2 linked regions of the Mus musculus genome follow. The protein of the gene in region 1 purifies or fractionates together with the protein of each later gene. This does not show direct contact. Links are inferred from orthologs where the notes say so. Each region holds a gene or a part of one and is shown on either strand. Other genes may lie near its edges.

Evidence for each region.
Region 2: the proteins of Sf3b6 (region 1) and Sf3b3 fractionate together in Homo sapiens (co-fractionation; 5 studies listed by BioGRID and IntAct, with this or other methods). This does not show direct contact. The link is inferred for Mus musculus from reciprocal best matches to the Homo sapiens genes SF3B6 and SF3B3.

The regions. Positions count from the first base shown.
Region 1 is NC_000078.6:4,811,611-4,822,863, forward strand, and holds the start of Sf3b6 (splicing factor 3B subunit 6), read left to right. Parts: upstream 1-5,997; 5' UTR 5,998-6,179; coding exon 6,180-6,209; intron 6,210-8,983; coding exon 8,984-9,102; intron 9,103-11,253.
Region 2 is NC_000074.6:110,819,826-110,830,379, reverse strand, and holds part of Sf3b3 (splicing factor 3B subunit 3), read left to right. Parts: intron 1-832; exon of another isoform or gene 833-861; intron 862-4,133; coding exon 4,134-4,285; intron 4,286-4,722; coding exon 4,723-4,878; intron 4,879-6,059; coding exon 6,060-6,215; intron 6,216-6,861; coding exon 6,862-7,005; intron 7,006-8,789; coding exon 8,790-8,912; intron 8,913-9,518; coding exon 9,519-9,673; intron 9,674-10,554. UniProt on the Homo sapiens protein: Component of the 17S U2 SnRNP complex of the spliceosome, a large ribonucleoprotein complex that removes introns from transcribed pre-mRNAs.

The sequences.
Region 1 (11,253 bases):
TGCTTCAAGTTTGAGGCCAACACGGGCTACAAAGAAAGACCTGGTGGTGGTGGTGATTGTAGGGTTAAACCAAGTACTACAAAAATTAAATGATGTAGGGCCAGGGGCATAACTCCACGGTAGAATATTTGCCTAAGATGCTCAAGGTCCCCAGTATCACAAAAACAAACAAAGCGAAGCAGATTTATACAAACAAGGAAGAGTAAGACATAATTCAGCTGGCAGCATGCCTGTCTAGCATGCATAGCTCTGGGTTTGATCTCCAGGGCTGCATAAACTAGGGCAGTGCTTCCTTCACAGCTGTTGGTTGGGATCAATTAGACATGTCCATCAAGGGCTGTGAAGATGACTCCGTTGGTGAACTGCTCTAGCAGCTAGCAGTGAGCAGAAAGACCTGCCCTTGGACTGTAAGCACAACAACTAAGAAATGCTGGGGACCTTCTCCCTGAGACAGGAGAACCCATGGGGACTTGCTGGGTCCAGCTGAGCCAGTAATTCTGGGTTCACTGAGAGATTCTGTCTCAAACCATAAGGTGGAGAAGACACGAGAAGATACTGTATTGACCTCTGGCTTCCACATGCACGCACACACAGATGTGTAGGCACACACAGAGAAAGAAATGTGCATCAGAATCAGCCAGGGAACTTTTTAAAATGAGCATGTCAGGGCCAGGCAACTGTCGTTTGAATGGTTCTGATGCAAAGCTGCAGTTAAGTCGTTATGGTCTAAAGCCTTTGAGGCCCAGGGCAATAACAGTTTGTCATTCATTAAATATCAGTCATTTCTTTTAGTAGATGTATTTATTTATTATGAGTACACTGTAGCTATCTTCAGACACACCAGAAGAGAACCTATTACAGATGGTTCTGAGCCACCATGTGGTTGCTGGGAATTGAACTCAAGACCTCTGGAAGAGCAGTCAGTGCTCTTAACCACTGAGCCATCTCTCCAGCCCAATATCAGTCATTTCTGAGAAGTCAGTTTTGTTCCTAGGTTCTCTAATAATTTACTTTGCAATCTTTGTAAGCCACATCCCCACATTGGCACCTTTCTTTGTACAACAAATGGCTTAAACAAAGTGTCTAGCTGAGAATCTATCGGTTGTAACACCACTGATTTTTGTGACCTGTGGCTTTTTATTTACAGAAACCAAGCCATTTCCCTCTCCTTTTTTTCTTACTCACAAAATTGGACTTCGTCCTGAAATTTTTCTCCAAGAAAAGGAAGAGCTGTTGAAGAAGGGCCAGGGCTGGTGATACACAGGTCTCTCAGCATGTCCCCTACTTACTGTCCCTCTCTTTCTGCAGCGACTGAGCCAGTATGTGGCACCCCCAGGAGCCAGTAGCATTTTGGAACTTGAGTCATTGGGACATGTGGCTGAGCTGGAACCTGGCTGCTAGGGACACAGGAAGAGTAGAAATTTGGCCATGGCTCTGCTGCCTGGTGAAAGCTAAAGCCCCTGAAGATCTCCTTGTACCCATCTCAGAACTGCGTGTCTCAAGCTGCAGCCACCCCAGAGGTCTGGATTACAGCCTTTCAGATGTCACTTCTTGAGAAAGCTTGATGCTCATTTCCATAGCACGGCTCATTCCATAGTAAGCCAACTTCTCTGAGCCCCAGCAATCCTCTAGGACACCCATTACCCTGCCCTGAAGGATCACTGAAGGCCATGGCCATCAAACCATGCTAGATGGCTTGCTATGGGGGCTGGGAGCCAAAGTTAGCAGATAGGAGGTCTGTGCACATCTTAACACGAGACCCAGGAGCAATCTGAACCTCACATCATGCGGACTTGTCTTTAGGGCAACAGAGGAAGACTTGGACTGTGTCTCAGAGGTAGAACATTTTCTTAGCATGCTCAGGGGCCCAGACTTTGGTCCTCAACAGTGAAAAAGAAAAGGATTTCTTCAGTATATTTTGTATTTTGGATAGAGATGATGGATGTGGCTACAATATTTTTGTAACTAAAGCCCATTTTCCACTTGATCAGAGACAATAAGGAACACACACACACACAAGGAAAGAAAAAGAAAAGAGAGAGGCAGAGATGGAGAACTGTCAATGCACCCCTTCAAAATGCAAGCTACTTGGCATTTGGTCCAAGGGTCAGCTGATGTACACAGGCTATTTCTATACTTGGACAGAAGAGAAAGTTTCCACAGTTTCTCTGCTTTCCATCCCAGGCCATGTTCAGGCTGGAGGCTTTGTGCTGATCCACGGAGATGAAGTGAAGCGGTCACAGCTGTCATCCAGCTGGCTCGGGGTGCTGGCACTGTTCTTCTGGTTAGAGCTGGCTTCCAGCATAAGCTTCAAATGGCAAGGAAGCTCATGGCTGCAGCTGGATTCAGTTATAGAGAAGATTTTTCTGAAACAACTCTAAGATTCATTAAAGGTAAGGCACTCACAGCTCAGTGGGCACCGAAAGATGATGCAGCACAGACTAATCTAGAGATGGTCAAAAAGGGGCCAGGATGGGAACCCGGGAAGCAGGTGTATATGTGTGTGTGTGTTTGTGTGTGTGTGTTCTAATACCAAATCTGAATATTTTTGAAGACAAGGTTTCCTGTATTCATGCTGGCCTCAAACGCACAGTAGTAGAGTGACCTTGAGATTCTGGTTCTCCGACCTCTCATCTCTTGAGTGCTGGGATTATAGATGTGCACCATCTTGCCTGGATTATGTAACTCTGGGGGTCAAAGCTGTCTTAGTTAGGGTTCTACTGCTGTGAACAGATACCATGACCAAGGCAACTCTTATAAGGACAACATTTAACTGGGGCTGGCTTACAGATTCAGAGGTTCAGTCCATTATCATCAAGGCTGGAGCATGGCAGCATCTCATGGCAGGCATGGTGCAGGCAGAGCTGAGAGTTCTACATCTTCGTCTGGAGGCTGCTATGGGAATACTGATTTCCAGGAAGCTAGGATGAGGCTCTTACGCCTATGCCCACAATGACACACTTACTCTCAAAGGCCACACCTCCTAATAGTGCCACTCCCTGGGCCAAGTATATACAAACCATCACAAAAAGCCAAGGCTTCATGCATGGTAGGCAGACACTATACCAACTGAGCTACATTTTAGCACAAATCTGTCTTTTTTTTCCCCCATTCATCTTTTTCCATTTTCCTTGTGAGTAGAAAGGGAGAGATGAGAACAAAGCTGACAGCCCCTGCAGACCTGGAGTGGCATTTGCTACTTTGTGGGTTCTCTTTTTTCTACCCTTCTCCATTCCTTTTCTTCTACCCTTTCAACCCCCTAATGCTAGATAGGGGAGAAACAAGGATAGAGAGGAAGGGGGACAGAGTCATAGGTTGACTACTTCCTGCTGGTTAGGGCCATTGCTCTCCTTGGGGCAAGTTTAATCTTCCCATTCAGGATACCTAATTTCCTCTTGTTTCTTCTTTGTGCACAACTACTTAAGCCATGATAAACCAACAACTCACCTGCCTCTCAGGGCCCTAGCATTTACATTTCCCTTTGAAGGAGGAGTCCCCAGAATTCTAAACATCATGTGGTCTCAGAAACTGCCTGCAGCTGACAAATCCCACCCCCGCAGGAGCACAAGGCCAGTCCTAGTCAGCGGCTGTGGACAATCTAAAGCAGCCCATAGGCCTCACCTGGATGAAAATGAAAACATATTCCCATAATATGTCTGTGATTGTCAAAGAGACCAAAGTTTTCACTACACAGACCCGCTAAGTTAGATGTGGACGATCAGTCTGCTCTGGGTCTGGAACAGGACTTCCTCTTTTCCACTCTTACCCATGCCTGGCTGCCGTGGGAATGGATTTATTGGGGGGGGGGGGGATGAGACAAAATACCAGGTGTTGGTGTAGTTATTCCCACCTCTGTGATAAGGTGGGGAACAGGGACTCAGGTAGGAGATGCACAAAGTAACACATGCTATTATAATTCCACTCACTACAGTCTTTCTATGCACGATGTAACACATGCTATTATAATTCCACTCACTACAGTCTTTCTATGCACGATGTAACACATGCTATTATAATTCCACTCACTACAGTCTTTCTATGCACGATGTAACACATGCTATTATAATTCCACTCACTACAGTCTTTCTATGCACGATGTAACACATGCTATTATAATTCCACTCACTACAGTCTTTCTATGGCCAGTGCTTCAGGTCCAACCGTACTTGCCTCCTGCGCTTGTAGTGATTTGTTATTTTCAGGCAAGGCCTCAATAGGTAGCCCAGGCTAGCCTTAAGCTCGAGCTTTCCCTGCTTCAAACTCCACGTGCTGGGGTTATAGGCACGCACAGCCACACCTATGTTTATCTTTACTCACATGTCCAGAGATATACCTTGAAACCTTATGAGTACCAATGCTTGCGTTTAACATGACTACCAATCTCTCTCCTTTGGAAGGTGCTGATCCTATTAGGAGAAGAATGTCAACTGCCCAGCTCTTGATGGTTGCTGGGCTCTCTGTGGCTTAATAGTAGGAGCTGTTGTTAGTTTTAGTGGGCCCTGTTTTTAAAACTACTTCTTTGTTTGTTTGGGTTTTTTTGTTTGTTTGTTTTTTGAGACAGAGTTTCTCGGTATAGCCCTGGTTATCCTGGAACTCACTTTGTAGACCAGGCTGGCCTTGAACTCAGAAATCTGCCTGCCTCTGCCTCCAGAGTGCTGGGATTAAAGGCGTGCGCCACCACGCCCAGCCTTTAAAACTACTTTTTAAATGAGGTAGTCGGATCACTAGTTTGCTCGATCTAGGGATAATGAGGTGGGTGGTAAGTGAAAGAAAGTAGGATTGTCACCCAGAAAACTGCCTTTGTACAAACAGCTTGCTTTAGGGAGCCTATAAATAAGTCTGCTACCTTGTGTACCAATTGGTAACTGTGTTCAGATAATTAATTCTCTAAACCCTCCCACGTATTTCTATACTTCATATTTATATGTTTCTATCAGAATGAGCAAAAACATGGCCACAGTATTAAGTCTTCACATAGGCCCACGGCTTTGTTTTCAGGGTAGACCTCTTCTCAGTATACCAAAAAAGCCTATGTAAGCTTGGACCTTCGACAGGTTTATGTTCCTAAAATCCTCTGTAGCATCATAGAAGGAGCCAGCTTTGGGAGTATATCCCATCAGTTTCGCAGCGATAAGGCTTCAGCATTCCTTTTGTGTTAAGCTATGTAAGTCTGTCACTTGCACTAGTATTTTACTGCAGCCTTCAGTCTTACCTGGTACAGAATGAGGGTGCACATTTGAAAGCATGCTCTTTCCTGATGGGAAGTGAAAGGGTGTGCTGTTTTAGATACTCAAAACATTAGGGCTAGGCAGGATGGAGAATAACAGGGTTAAGGCCTTTCTTCAGGCTGATAATCTTTTCCTTAGTACAAACGCCGGTGAAAACCTCCACGGAGCAGATTCTGCCTTTCTCTGCAAACAGCCCCCAACGTCTGCTGCTGGTTCTTGATAGAGTCTACCCGGCAACTTATATTCAAGTGGCTAATATGTGGGGGCTAACAGGAGCGCGGGCAAAATCGTCTTGGAGCTGCCCTAGTGAAGGAGGACCTCCGAGCAAACTCGGAAGTGGCCTCTCTTCCCATGTCCTGTAAAGCTGGTCTAAGGAAATAAAAAGATGCATGTGACGGGTTGTGTGCTCTGTTTGCGTGGACAGGGGCCGCGGGAACCGGGTGAGGGAGTTCGACGGTCAGGTGAAGCGCGACCTGAGGCCCAGGGCCCCGGGATCGGCCTTCCGAGCAAAGTTCAGATTGGGACCTCTGTTGGAAGCGCTGGCGAGCCGGGTTCCTCTCCGAGACCTGGGCGCGCTAAATCGCAGGCTCTGGGTCTGATCTCTCTCATGGACCCCGCCCCTCGCTCCTTAAGCCACACCCCCTCAAGCGGAACACCTCCCTTCCCTTGGCATTCGCCCCGCCCCTTCCGGTCCGCAATCCGGAAGCGTTCTGGAGCTTGCTAGTTCGCTTTCCGGCTTGAGAATGCGTTCTCTGTAGTGTGACTTGGAGCATCTTTTCTAGGAAGTAAACGCGTCCTAATTTGAGACGCGGACTTTCCGGCATTGCTGTAAAAGCTTCCGGCGCTACCTGGCTGTAAATACTCTGTATCTGACGCCGTGTCGCCCACGAAGGCGATCAGGTTTAGAAATATCCAGAGGGATCTTACGGTAACCTACATCAGCCCGCCAAGATGGCGATGCAAGCGGCTAAGAGGGCGAATGTGAGTACCCCGCTTTCTGCGTGACAGGGAAGCGATGTTGTTGCTTGACTGTTGCTGCGTGCCTGGGGAGCGTTTTTTGTCCCTCCGCCCATAGTTGGGGAAGCTTGTTATCAGTTCTGTCAAAGGAGGTTCTGTCCTGGGCTCGTCCTCAGGGGTGTGTTCTTTGAGCGACTTTTCGCCCCACCCCTATTGAGAGCCCCCTGGCATCAGTGACCTCGTAACGCCTAGGACCAGGCGTTAGGCTCTTCTGAGTCCAAAAAGACATACGGAGTAACTATTTGGTTCCTTGCCAGCTGGAGCCTGGGATTTTTCTCGAATGTAGAACTTTGGGAATCCTCTATTAATATTATGTAAGCACCTGCTTTGTCTCTTGTCTTACAAACGGGAAGCAATTCATCAGTTGGGTTTATTCAACACTACTGTGTAAAGGACTAGTCGGGCTTATGTTCTACTGTTGTCAGTGAGTGTTACCAAAACCTTTAAGGAAAAAAAAAAACATCTTTCAGGAAATTAAGAAGTGGTTAAAACTTAGAATCACACCAAAACAAAGACACATAATTGACCATTGGATATCCTGATGAAGATTTTGGGCAACCGCGATTATGTGAATCATTTCAGTGAATGAAAACTTAGTTCCTGTAAAATAAAAAGATGGTAGGAGTTAGGACAAAACTGTAGAGCTGATTCTATGATTTTTCTTATTAATAGAGAAATTGAATTGTTTTAAAGATACCTACAGTGCTTTTTATAGACCAACGAGAGTGAGCCAACATAATGGTAGAGACCTGATATGTAAGATTCCAGAGTAAAACTGGAATGTGGCTCAGTGATTGCCTAGTGGGCGTGAGTCTGGATTTGACTCCCAGCACCTCAAACCATGACAACCAAAAATAAGTAAAGAGGGGAGTGGTTGGTACACCAATAGAAGAAAAAAATGGTTGGATGGACATAGATGGATAAAGTTTACAATAGGAATATATAGTTACCATTTGATCATATCTGTTTTCTTCAAGAAGTGTGGAGCCCCGGGTCATATCCTATGTTGGCTGAGAAGAGTATAGAGCCTTTTCAAATTTTACAGGGGATGATGATGGTGAAGTTTTAGGAGAGAAGAGAGAGACATACACAGTGTTTTACACAGTGAAAAAGCAGATTTACTGGAGAAATATATTTGTGTGGCAGTTGTTGATTATCAAACTTGACCTGGAAATCTTAAACTTTTATAGTCTGTCTAATTATCACCACTACTCATTTGAAGGTAGGGATAAGCGTTTTTACTTTCATGTTTGTTTATTATTGTATGTGCACATGTAGAGGCCAGACGACAATTTGTGGGAGTCGGTTCTCTCCATGTGGATTCCAGGGATTGACAGCTCACCAGGCTTGCTGGCGAGGGCCAGCTCACCAGCCTGAGGGCAAATATCTTATCCTTTCATTCATATAATGCTTAGCTTCATACCAAAAGCCGTGTTGGTTTAATAAGTGATTACTGAAAATGTTTTGTCTGAGCTGGGCATGGTGGTGGCGGCGCATGTCTTTTATCCCAGCACTCGGGAGGCAAAGGCAGGCGGATTTCTGAGTTCGAGGCCAGCCTGGTCTACAGAGTGAGTTCCAGAACAGCCAGGGCTACACAGAGACACCCTGCCTCATAAAACCAAAAAAAAAAAAAAAGAAAGAAAGAAAGAAAATGTTTTGTCTGGTATGTAATTGACTGTAGTAGCAAAGAGGGACGTGTGAGTCAGCTGTAGAGGAAGAAGGCTAAGAGTGAGGAGTGTACAGCAGGTTCAGACAGGCAACAGACCGGGCCACAGTATCAATGTCACAGATAGGAGGAACAACAAGAAGGGTGAGAGTGAAGAGTGTATAGCAGGTCAAGACAAGCCACAAACTGGGGCACAGTATCAATGTCACTGATAGGAGGAACAACAGCCAGGCCCCTAAAAGGCTGACAAGGGAACGCTGGAATGAAAAGATGTTAGTAAAGACACTTTCAAGTGGTAGCTCAGGTCTGGGTGTCCTATAAAGAAGATGAGTCAGTCAGGACAGACTTTCCTTTGCAGCCTGCATGACTGAAAACAGAAGCAAGATTTAAAAAAAGGTAGAGCTGGAAAGTGCAGGGAAGGTAGACACCTTGTCTTTCATTCAAGGCATCTCTCTTAGTACCTAGCTCACTGTGTACATTTAAAAGGCACTTAGTAGCTGGGCAGTGGTGGCGCACGCCTTTGATCCCAGCACTCAGGAGGCAGAGGCAGGTGGATGTCTGACTTCGAGGCCAGCCTGGTCTACAGAGTGAGTTCCAGGACAGCCAGGGCTACACAGAGAAACCCTGTCTCAAACCTCCCCCCGCCCCAAAAAAAAGGCCCTTAGTAACTGTTTGATGCATAAGTGAAGAGGAGCCCAGTACTTTGTTTTGTGTGGATTGGGAGGACCAGATCAGCTGCTCAACTGGGGACTAGAAACTGGTGAGAAGGGAAAGCCTGTAAGAACAAGAGAAGTCACTGATGCAGGCTCCTAAGCCATGAGAAGGCGTATGAGTGGGATTCACTGTCCTTTCTTCCCCACGAGACACTAAGGATGGATGTGTAAGTGAAGTGGGGATCCTTGTTAAGTAGAGCGGGGTTTTAGTTGCTCCTGACAGTCTTCCCTCTGCTGACTTCCTGAGGAGCATCCGGTGGTAGCTCTTACTCTTGGCTTCTTCTTTGGCATCACTGGGGTCTTTACCATGACTGCGCACTGCTGTCCTTCAGTATAATGATCCTTATTTCTCATTTTAGATTCGCCTCCCACCTGAAGTAAATCGGATTTTGTATATAAGGAATTTGCCATACAAAATCACAGCAGAAGAAATGTATGATATATTTGGGAAATATGGACCTATTCGTCAAATCAGAGTGTAAGTTTTTCTAAGTCTTATAATATCACTTAAAGGATATGGTTGTCTAATCGGTAATCTCCTCCGAGTTGTAGCTCGCAGCAGGACTGCACTGTATGGTGTGCAGTGATGTGTCTGCTTTGCAGTGAGACTACAAGACCCTTGAGTAAAAGTTCCTTTCTAGTATCATGTAATATTTAGTGATAACATCTTGTAATTCTGAATCAAACCATTAAACTACAGTACCTAAATTTGTGCCATTTAAGGGCCCCTCTGGAAGGATTTTTAAAGCTTTTATTTTTTCAGTCATAATGTTTCTCTTCAGGAAGGCACCATTGAAAAGGTCCTGTGGGTTTGAACCCAGGACCCTGTACATGCTAGACAGGCTCTAATCCCAACCCCACTATATATATTTTTTATAAGTTTTCTGAAGCAAGAGTGGTGGGCCACACCTATAATCTCAGTTTGTGCATAGAGGCAAGGGTTAAAAGTGATTCTCATCTATACAGGGATTTTGAGGTCAGCCTGATTTTTTTAAGACCATAGCTCAAGTCAAGCTGAAGATTTTCTTTTTATAACCTCAGAGCCCCTTCCTGGCTTTTAAGACCATGAGAACCTGAAGCCTTTGCTTTCAAATGACCACCATCTCTCCTGGGAGTAAACTGCTTCCTGGGAATATACCATCATTTGTGATGTATTCCCATTAGTAGCCAAATGAGGATGAAACAAAAATACCATAGAAGGAGTGCTCTCTTTAGGAGGTCTCAGTTCTCTGAACAGCTGCTAAGGACTTTGTAATCCCTACTGAATACATTTTGTCTGTATTTTGAGGAATGCAAGAATTCTAGGTCCTTCAAAGAACAAATAAAATATGTAGATAGTCTCTGATTTGAGAGCCAGGAAACAAGGGTTTGCCTTTAATGCCTGTAACTAGCCATGTGCCAAGCAGCAAGGCTTGTTAGGTTTTTCTTCTGTAAGATAATTTGGATGGTGGCCCTTTGGTCCTCAATGAGAAGGCAGTGTGATAAATCGACTGCATCGGTTGTTAGACCTGAGTTCAGATACTAACAGTCTTTCAAGTTTAAGTAAACCTGGGCAGAGTGTTTCATCTGTCTAGGCTTCAGTTCTCCATGAGCTTGGGTCAAGTTGCACAGTCTGTACATCCAATCACTCTCCATAAAGCCACGGAACCTCTGTCCATCCCTTAGTTACATCTAAGGCTTATTAGTTAATACATGCTCATGTTACTGCCCATGAACTCAACTGTCTTTCTTGGCAGAGGTGACAGCCTCCAGGCTTTGTGTTGATAGCATTGCTGCATGATCCATAGTAACCTCCCATACACACACACACGCAAATGAATAGGACTGGGGTACAGCTTATTAGTTGAGTGTGCAAGGCCTTGAGTTCAATCCTCAATAAAAAGAAAATAAATAAAATAATAGCATGGCTGTGATTAACTTATGAAGGCATTATAAAGCTTACTTATAGCACTCACTTGAGAAAAGTTTAAGTCAGCGTTAGAGAATGCTACCAAAACGACAACATAAGAACTAGTCATGGTAGCCGGGCATGGTAGTACACGCCTTTAATCCCAGCACTCAGGAGGCAGACACAGGAGGACCTCTGAGTTCGAGGCCAGCCTGGTCTACAGAGTGAGTTCCAGGACAGCCAGGGCTACACAGAGAAACCCTGTCTCGAAAAATCAAAAAAAAAAAAAAAAAAGAACTAGTCATGGTAGAACACACCTGTAATCAGAGCCATATTGGAAACAGAGGCAGAAAGACTGCAAGTTTGAGACCAGTCTGGGCAGTAAAGTGTGGCAAATTCAATACGTCAGGGGTTACAGCTTGGTAGTAGAGGCAGCCAAAGCATGAGCAGAGCCACAGTAGCTCAGGGCCTTGGCTTCCAAGCTTCTCTCAGGCTGCTCGGCTCCTTCTCAGCCTAGTCTCAGCTTCAGGAAAGACTTTTCAGAGAGGTTCCCCCTGTCACAGCTCTCCTTTCCTCATGTGGCTCCATATGATCTGGGATTCATACTTTTTGGGGGGGGGGGTTCGAGACAGGGTTTCTCTGTGTAGCCCTAGCTGTCCTGGAACTCACTCCGTAGACCAGGCTGGCCTCAAATTCAGAAATCCGCCAGCCTCTGCCTCCCAAGTGCTGGGATCAAAGGCA
Region 2 (10,554 bases), on another chromosome or scaffold:
TGTCTCCACGATGGTCCTGTATTCACATCATTCCTGAGTGCAGTGGTGACACACATATCACCCTGCCCAGCTTCTAATTTTTAGATAGTTTTTGAAAATTTTAGAGCAGATTTAGGTTTGCCAGAAGTTACTCATTTTTATGAAGAAAGCAGAATATCTCAAGTAGTGACTCTAAAGCCAATACATTTAAATAACAGAGGCAGGAGATTGTCTTCTGCATCCTAATTGGAAGCTCATTTGACTCACTCTGTGGTGGGAGCTTAAAGCATTGGTTTCTTGTGTGCTGTCATCCTGCTGTCCATTTAGAGCAGTTAGCACAGAATTTCTGCCTAAGAGCACTGGGGTAACTCAGTGGCAGAGCACTTGGCTACTGGGCCAGATCCTACAGAGCCATCCAACAATAAGAATATAAAAAGGATAGGTATCCAACCCCTATGTTCATTGATGTGGTGAAAGGCATACAAATGCTGCTAGAAGGGAGGGACTATAGGAGAGGAAACAGACTTATTTAAAAGTGAAGGAAGGTATAGCATTCAGTGATAGGCAGGCTGTTTCTAGTGTGGTGGAACTAGTAGTTGAAACTGTTCTCTGTTACATATCAAAACCTAGGTAGCAAATGTTTCTTGATCAGTTTTACTTTTTACTGCACTTTGGTCAATTATACACAAAAACATGTTAGGTTTTCTGGTCATTTTCTTTCCAGATAACCTACGATCCTATTGAGTGAGCATTCCTCTATCCACACGTGCCTCCGTCTTCAGGCAAATACTAACCTTGGCTGGTACTTGGTGATGCATACTACCAATACCAAGCCTTTTTTTCTCTTCCACAGGTGGCTGGTGAAGGTGCTGATTATCACAGGTGTGTACCTACTGCTAGGGTCTACTGTGGGATCTATAGGGAGAGGGATGGCCTTCACAGAGTACTGAGGCTGCCCTAACGGGGTCTCTCAGGGAACTTTGCAGGTGGATGTCAGTGTGCATCTTAGTGACACTCATCATCTGGTCTAAAGCAGGAATTAGCCCCTCTGGACAGTAGGAATAGTTTGGCTTTTATGAACCTGAAAGAACATGTAACAAGCAAACCACAGCTTCATTCTCCTTTGGAATTATCCATTCCAGATGTCTCGACTGACAGATTAGGTCCTGGAGAAAACATTTTGAGTCTATAATACATTAAACTAAGGTGAGATAAGAGCCAGGTACTCTGAATACCACGTGTGAATGATACACAGGAAGCTTGGTCATCTCCACTGGGGCCATGTTACTGTTTGGAGACGGCTAATAATAATTTAGTAAGGTAAGAAAGGTACAGCATTGTCTCTCATGGTTGCTGTACAGTGCTCAGAAATGGAAAAGGAAATATACTGAACTTGGCCCTACAGAGGCGTTCTCTTTCCCTGAGAGAGCCCTCACTGAGACAGGACGAAAAAGACATTGTGAATATTTATAATTCCTAGTAATAACAGTGTCTGAAGCTTGATTTTTGGTATTGAATGTCAACTTTTAAGGTCTGTAATCTCCCTAAGACTATTAATGTGTCTCAGGACTTCATTGCTGGGAATGGCAATGGTAGAAGTTCCAGTGTGGTTGGTATTCAGGGAAGCTGTGGTTAAAGGGATTTTTAAAGCAGTAGTCATTGCTCTCTTCCTTGTGGAATTATTTAGACAAAGTGCCTGCTGTTAATTGAGCATTTCCTTTATATCTGAGTAGTCGGGTCTTGTGGCTAAAGGGAAGGTGTAAACAGTAAAAGCAGCAAGGAAAGAACCGCGTGATTTCTCCCAAAGACACTGCTTTCCTCTCAAGTGAGGGGAGACACTGAAAATTGTAGCTGGTTAAAGTCCTTAATTAGTTTGCTGTAATTTAGTATCACACAGCTTTGAAGGTACAGTAAATGGGAACACGGGAGATGATGTAGTGTTCTCATAAAAATAAACAGTTTCTTACTACATGTCAGAAATTTCCAAGTCAAAAGTTCAGAGCTGGAGTAAAGTTTTAAGTTTGATGTCATGTTGAGATCAGTTTAGGTCTTCGTAAGCTATTGGAAATCCATTTAGGAACAACCATATCCTAATTTCCTTTTTAAAAGTATTTACTTGTTATAGTGTATGTGTGGGCATGTGTGACACCATGTGCATGTGGAGTTCACAGGTCAGCTCTGTGGAGTTGGTTCTCTCTGTCCATCCTTATGTGGCTTTTGTGAGTGGAACTTGGAACACCAGGCCTGAACAGCGCCTTCATGCTCTGAGACATGTCATGATAGCAAGCAGGGCTCGACATGTAAAATCATTGTAAATGATTTTCCAAAGCATTTGCTGACAGTACAATCAAAAACCAAGTGTCTGGTCTAGCACTGCTCTCTAACATTGTATATATGCTTTATGGGTTACCTGTCTGTCCATTTATCATTTGAACTGCGTGGTGGGTTGGGAAAGATCTTTGATTCTTACTTTTTGCTAGCCATGTTGTATATGTGTATTATTAACTGGAAGTTTTATTAACAGCATTTAACCCTTACTGTGTGAAACAGTCACATACCATTATTTCTATAATAAAATACTGATTACAATCACCAAACTGTACGTCCTGCTAATAGGTCAGAGTCCTGTGTAGGCTGCACCAGTGATGTGCCTTCACCCTCCTATAAAGAACGCTGATTAAAGTAGTTCTGATAATAATCTGGAGTAATACAAACTAAAAATGGTCCTTGATGTGTATGGAGTAAGTAGGTTAGTCTTGTGGCATCGAGCTCTGACAAGGCTCGGGGCGAGTAGAGCCCTGTAGCTGCCAATCAAGTTTAGTGCCTTACTCTGTTGTTCTGTCCTTTGTTTCACTGATTTCTGTGTTGGGCACAAAATGACACTCAAAAGTTGATATAGAAATACAGATACTGAGTGGGAAAAAACTTATGAAAGCAGTAAATGTAACTTTATTCAGTATATATCCGGTGTTCTATATTGTTGACGTAGGCAACTCAGAAGTTATTTTATACTGTGGAGTGAAGGTATGGGAAATAGATGGCCTTTAGCAATGGGGTTGGGCAGGAGATTAAGATTGCCTTTATAGAACTCAGATCTTAAGACCTTGAGAAACTCATTAGTGTTTGTTTATTAAACAACATTATGAAAAGCAAATTCTAGTAAGATTGCTTGTAACCACTGTGTTGCTAACAATTTTAAACAGAAAAGCCCTAGAGGTCAGGCACTGACTATCAACATTTGCCCTTCCCCCATTTCCTGGGTAACTGGTGCTCTCTCTTCTCAGTGGGATTAGGATTCCCAGGCTCCAGCCCTCGAAAAACCAAACATGTTCAACCCTCAAGTAGTCATTTTCTTCACTAAAGATTATATATATATATATGTTTGCATTCGCTCCCTTTAGAAGAAGTTAGTGCTTGGGTATCTTTTTGGTTTTTTTGGGGGGTGTTTTTGTTGTTGTTTTGGTGAGGTTTTTTTGTCTGTTTGTTTTGAGACATAGCCTTGGTGTCCTCAAACTTGGAGATCCACTTTTTTCTGCCTCCTGAGTGCTCAGATTCACAGAGTACCCCACCACGCCTGGCTGATCTCTTCTCTTAAAATGTCCCTTAAGTGGGTTGGAATCAGGCAGGATTAACTCAGCTGCCTGTCATGCAGGAAACTCAGTTCCAATCTCCAGCACATCATAAGCCAGGCATGGTGGCACACCTATGTATAGTTCTAGTGCTAAGGAAAGTAGAGTCAGAAGTTCAAAGTCATCTTTGGCTGTATATTGAGTTTGAGTCCAGCCTGGGCTACATAATACCCCATCAGTCAGTCAGCAATTGGCACAAATAGATTTGCTCTAGTTTTTCACACAGTTACTTAAGGTTTTCTTATATGTTTTATTATTATTATTTTATTTTTATCGTCTCTTTTCCAAATACCTGAAGGAAATACTAGTCTTCAGACATTTATACTCAGCGTGTTTGGGCATTTACTTGTAGGTTGCTAGGACAGCCAATCGTCTTTTGAACATTCTGTTTTGTGTGTGCATGTGTGTAGTGACTGCACATAGAAGTGTTGTGAAAGGTTTCTAAAACTGTTGTGTCTCAACTGCCTTTCTAATGCTAGTAAATTTGAATTTTTCCTAACAGCTCCTCTGTTTTCTTTTTTCCAGATGAGTTTGATGCCTACATCATTGTGTCTTTCGTGAATGCCACACTTGTGCTATCTATCGGAGAGACTGTGGAAGAAGTGACTGACTCTGGCTTCTTGGGCACCACTCCAACCTTGTCCTGCTCCTTGTTAGGAGATGATGCACTGGTGCAGGTGAGCGTGCACCTCCTCAGCGTGCCTTGGCCGTCCGTCCTTTGCCCATCCTTTGCCCATCCTTCTCTTGTTTTGTGGTGTGCTTGAATTCATGTTTCTTCATTCTCACCTTCCAGAAAACCTGAGGGGAGGGTCTAATGTCTTATCAACATAAAAAGGGGTACTGAGAATTCATCCCTTTCAGGCTTTGAATAACTCGGCAGTTAGGAAAATTTGAAGCCTAACATTTCCTCCCTGTTGGTCATTCCCTATCACTGCTTTTCTCATCTTTATCATTAACATGTGGGCTTGGGACCTTTCTCAACTGAGGTGGCAAAGCATGAACATTTCAAAAACAAGCAGTGCCTCATTTGTGTGGTCCCAGTGTGCCAGTGTGAGGGCCATTCTGGGTGACAATCAGATTGCTAGTTAGATGTTCTTCTTTGACTGACTTCTAGGTGTATCCAGATGGCATCCGACACATACGAGCAGATAAAAGAGTTAATGAGTGGAAGACTCCCGGCAAGAAAACGATTGTGAAGTGTGCAGTGAACCAGCGACAAGTGGTGATCGCCCTGACTGGGGGAGAGCTGGTCTATTTCGAGATGGATCCTGTATGTTACTTGTTTTGTTCTGCTGGCCCTGTGTTATCTTCCATTATGGTCCTTGGGGTGGGGTTCTGTTGTTGTGCTTAGGCAGTGTTGTCAGTGTATGTATCTTAAGCATGCATGGATTCACAAGAAAGAGAATTGGGACTCTGAAGTGTCCACAAACAAGACAGTTTGGCCCCTTTTTTAAAGATTAAGGACAAAAACTAGGAAATCTAATTCAGATTACAGATGTGAAATCTCTTGAAAGCCAAATAGCTTGTTTTGTACCTCATCCTCATCTTCTAGTGAATATTTGGTAAAGAATTCTTTTATTTTCTTCTGTCTCGTTTCTCTTTTTTTGTTTTTTGTTTTGTTTTGTTTTGAGATACAGTCTAATGTAGAATTCTAGGCTGGTGACTCACAGCAGTCTTCCTGTCTCAACTTCACAAGTGCTGTGATTAGTCATGAGTTACTATTCCTGATTTTGCTATTTTATATGAAAATGTATCCAGAACTTACCTTCTACAGAAATCTCTAGTAGACTTGACATTTTTGTTGTTGTTTTGACTGTGTTTGAATTGGCTTTGGTGTATTAGGAAAGGGTTTTGTTTTTGAGATGGTCTCATGTAGACTAGATTGGCCTTGACCCTGTTCTTCTGTCTCCCTTTCTGTTTCCCATGTGCTAGAATTATAGTCTTGCATTACCACAGCTGGCTTTGTTCAGGGTTCTCATGATGAGAACAGATAAATGGCTTTATATATTTGTTTCTTGGTCTAGGATAGTGTATATTTATGCTACATCCTGCTTTTTTTCTTTCCCTCTGGGGCACTAACCTGTGAAGTTGATTTTGGGATCTGAAATGGTGAGATTCTTGGTCACTGACTTACTAAAAAGTGGAGTGAGATATAAAACAGTGTTAGCAGTGTTGCTCAGTTGATAGATCTCTAGCACTGTATAAACAGGGTGTGTTCAGACCCTTTGTAATCTCAGAACTCAGAGGAGGCCATGGTCTCAGGTTCATCCTTGAACGTAGCTAATAATAGTTACATGAAACCCCATCTCAGAAGCAAAAAGAGGGGTGAGAGGAGGCAAAAATAAAATTAAATTTAAAAAAAGTCTTAACAGCCCATCTTCCTTTCATACATAGTCCAGAGCTACAGGGTGAATTGTAGCACACAGACCTATTTTGTTTTTCTTCCTGTAGTCAGGACAGTTGAATGAGTACACGGAGCGGAAAGAGATGTCAGCAGATGTGGTGTGCATGAGTCTGGCCAACGTGCCCCCTGGAGAACAGCGATCTCGGTTCCTGGCTGTGGGGCTGGTGGACAACACTGTCAGAATCATCTCCCTCGACCCATCAGTGAGTGGCATTCTTAGTCTTCTGGGTGGGCCCTAAGCACCTGGCTCCCTAAAATCTGTGTCTATTGTTTTTCTCTCCTCTCCCCCATCTTGTCCAGCAGTGAGATCCTAAGCACCCAGTGTGGTGAGGTGTATGCTGCTGCCGCCTTTGATTCCCATAGCACACCTCGGGATGTTTAAGGATGTTGATCTGTGGCTACTATGTGTTTCTTCCTCAAAAGACTTGAATCCCTTTTGTAGTGTTTTAGATTCTATCTATGTTGTTCATGTTTTGCTTGCATGTTTGTATCAGGAAGTATCCAAGCCAACATGTAGATCCTGGGAGAGCAACAAGTTCTTTAAACCACTGGAGCCTTGCCTTCAGTTTAAAATCCTAAGACTGGTGATTAAAAAGGAATTTTACTTATTATAGGGCCTAATATGACTTTCTTACTTTGACCATTATCCACTTTGACAGAAATAAACAAGAGCTCCCCAAAACTTACTCTGAGATTTAGATTTAATAAGCATCTACTGTCTCAGTTTTCTTTTGGGGTTTCCATTTTCCTCAACAAAGATCCTCCTTCAATCCTAGCAGATTTCTGTGAGTATGTGTTTTCCAGAATTGTCTCTTACAGCAATTTTTCCTCCCCACTTCTGTTCCTTAGGACTGTTTACAGCCTCTGAGTATGCAGGCTCTCCCAGCCCAGCCTGAGTCTCTATGTATTGTGGAAATGGGTGGGACTGAGAAACAAGATGAGCTGGGTGAGAGAGGCTCTATTGGCTTCCTGTACCTGAACATTGGACTACAGGTAAGATGTCCAGGGGCTCACATTGGTGTAAGGCCTTCTTTGGTATCTATCAGCCTGTTCTTTATCCAGTCTAAGCATTTTCTTTGCCTGTAGTTCTAGATAGTCGCCTTGGGAAACTCATCATCTAGTGCTGTCAGAGACTGATTTTTCTCAACACTTAGAACATGTTAGGCAGGCCTGGAAATAGCACACACAAAGCGTCTTCATAGCTGGTAAAAAGTGCTTTGTGATAGGTGTTTTGGTTTGGAATTAAATGAGTCTTCAGTAGTGACCTATAGTTCCCATAGTATTCTAGTCTTTTAAAGTGAATTCCTCCCAGTTCATAATTGACCATGTTAGCTCTAGTGTGTAGAAGCCTGGGTGTTTTTGTAGCCAAAGGAGATGAGTTTTATCATGGTACAAAAAGCAGGAATCTAGTGTAAACTAGCATCGGTGCTCTCACGGTGCTATGTGCCTTACTTCCTGAATCAGGACCTGCAAAGACTTAAGTTAGATGGCAGACTTGTGCTTTTTCAGTTTTAGTTTCATACTTTAAAATGCTTGAGCATGAGACACACAAATGAGTCTTCATTTTCCCATTTAAAGGAGTATTTTACAGCAAATCTAGGGCAGTACCTCTTCCCTCCTATACTTAGTAATGTTATCTCTATAGTGTTTTGCTTTAAGAAACTAGTAATGTCATACCCACCAAGATTAGTAACACTTTCTGAATATCTGATACTTTGCATGTTTTAATTTCCTCGTGAAAAATCACAGTTAGTGCAGACTATAGACGTTGACGGCAGTTACTCACTCGTAACTGTTGTAGTGGAAGTGGCCCTACTCTGTTGCATCCCACTGGAGGTGCGTGATGTTGAAATGTTTGTAATCAAGTCTGTAAATTGAGGTTTATTCCTTTGCTCTAAACATACTTTATACAGGAAAAGGATAATGGCTCTCTCCCAACCCCTTCTTCAGTCACTAATTTTACAGTAGGAGTTAGGATTACAGCAGTCATTCTAGTTGAGTCTGATGAAGTAGGGATTTTGTTGGTTGGAGGTAGATTTTTATTTTTTAACTATATAAATTTGTGGGTATTTTCTTCTTCAAATTACTGTCATCTCTTAGATTTTTGTTTGCTTCATTTTTGATTGTGGTTTCCCTTGAAATTCGTTTGTTTATTTGACCCAGCTATCTTGCCTGCCTTCTTGCACAATTAGGTAACTGTTGCATTGGGAATGTTCTTGCTTCAGCCTTGAATCAGTCATCCCTTGGAACCGTGTTCCTTTAGGGAAAATGAGGCTTAGAGGTACCATAGTCAGTACATCCCAGCCTTTAATTGTTTGTTTTCTTTGTTTTGTTTTTTGCGGAGGTCTGCTTTTAAATTATAAAAAGTACTTAACTTAAATGATTTGGGGGGGATGGGGAGGTGAGATGGGGTTTCTTGACCCCTGGCTGTCCTGGAACTAGCTCTCCAAACAGACCGGCCTCAAACTCAGAGATTTTCCTGCCTCTGTTTCTTGAGTGTTGGCTTAAAAGACATGCACAATCCCCACCTGGCTTAAATGAAATATTTCTTAATGTACAGGAAATGTATGTATAATGAGAAGTGGGTTTTGCCAGTAGATGCTTAGTAACTAGGAGAGAATGAGTGAATTCCTGATTGTTGGGCGCTGTGACCTGTTTTATGTTGTTTTCGCCACCAAGTCATATCTTTGTCTTCTACTAAAGTAGCCAAAGGAAAATCTAACATAAAAGTTCCCATCATAAAAAGGAGGCTTTACCTGTTCCATCTTTTCCACTAGAACGGTGTACTGCTGAGGACTGTCCTAGACCCTGTTACTGGGGACCTGTCTGACACCCGCACTAGGTATCTGGGGTCCCGTCCTGTGAAACTCTTCCGGGTCCGGATGCAAGGCCAGGAGGCTGTAAGTAGTCAAAAGACATTTGGATGTTGGTACCACTGTGAACTTCTGACTAATTCACTTTGTAGGTTGATGTTCGTTTCACTTACATAGGAAATTCTGGGTTCTTTGGAGTTTTCTAAGAGATGGTCCATGAGATGGCACTGGGCATTATGAGGTTATAGGAAGCTTGAATATTGATCTTTGAGTCTATTTAGGCCTAGCTATCTGAGATGGAAAAGGATTATAGTGATCTCATGAGTCTACCTAATAGGAATGAGAGCCTATTCTTCGCAGTTCAGAGTTAACACTGCCACTGCCGTGCTAGTTCTTAAACGTTACCTTATTCACATCTACAGCTGTCCAACCTTGGAATAGAGTCTCTAATTTATACCCAAGGGAAAGTCGGTCCAGAGGAATGTGATTGATAAAGCTTGCTTTTTCTTTTTCTTTTTACTTATTTTTTTCCTTTCTTTATACAATAAGCCGTGTACTGCCTGTTTGGGCTCCCTTTGTTTAAAGTGGCTTTGTAGACTTCTAAAATTTGAGGCCAAAGTTGGGTTGTATGTTTGTTTGGTCAGTCTACCATGTATGAGCTTGTCCAGTCTGATTGGAACTCTTCCTCCCCAGGTTCTGGCTATGTCCAGTCGCTCATGGCTGAGCTACTCTTACCAGTCTCGCTTCCATCTCACCCCTCTGTCTTATGAGACCCTGGAATTTGCATCGGGCTTTGCCTCTGAACAGTGTCCCGAGGGCATTGTTGCCATCTCCACCAACACTTTGAGGTGAGAAAATACTGCCAGGCAGTGGTGGTGCACGCCTTTAATCCCAGTACTCCAGAGGCAGAGGCAGAGGCAGGAGGATTTCTGAGTTCCAGGACAGCCAGGGCTACACAGAGAAACCCTGTCTCAAAAAAACAAAAAGGAAAAGAGAAAATCCTCAGGCTTGAAGCCCAGCAGGAAGCTTTTGTGCCAAGTCCTCAGCCTGTGGTTCTACCAGAGTTGGAGGAGTTTGTAGAGATGGCTGAGAACAACCTTTCACCAGGAAAGAGTGTTGCAGCTGAAATTTAGTTTGGCTCAGGCGTTTAGAAACTGTGAGCCAAGTTTGAATTTGGCATTTAGCTTCTGTTTAGACTTTAGGAGCTAAGTTGTAAAACTAGTCTTGCACTTTAAGATTTCTGTTTCCTGGTGAAATGGTCATATCCCAAGACTAGTTTTAGAACAAGCGTTAAATCTGGATTTACCTATAGAATTATATCTTTTTTTAGCCATGGTTTCACCATGTAGCCCAGGACATGTTACATAGACCAGCTTGGCCTCAAACTCATAGAGATCCACCTGCTTATGTTTATTGAGTACTAGGATGAAAACCTCGTTCTTTATTTTTCATGACAGAATCTTACTAGGTAGCCAATGCTGGCTGGCTTCAAGATCAAATTTCAGGTGCTCACTTGGGCTCAAGTTGCATGCATGCACATACACACAAATACAGAAGGCCACTGAACATTCTAGTACTTATTGTTAGTCAATCACTTTTTGTCTATTAGTAATATATAAATATTTGTCTTAATTTTTTTGTGTGAAGGCAGGTTTTGTTTTTTCTTTGAAATACAGTTTTTGGAAAAAGTGAATTAGAAATATGATGAAGTGTTGTGGAGTATTTGCCA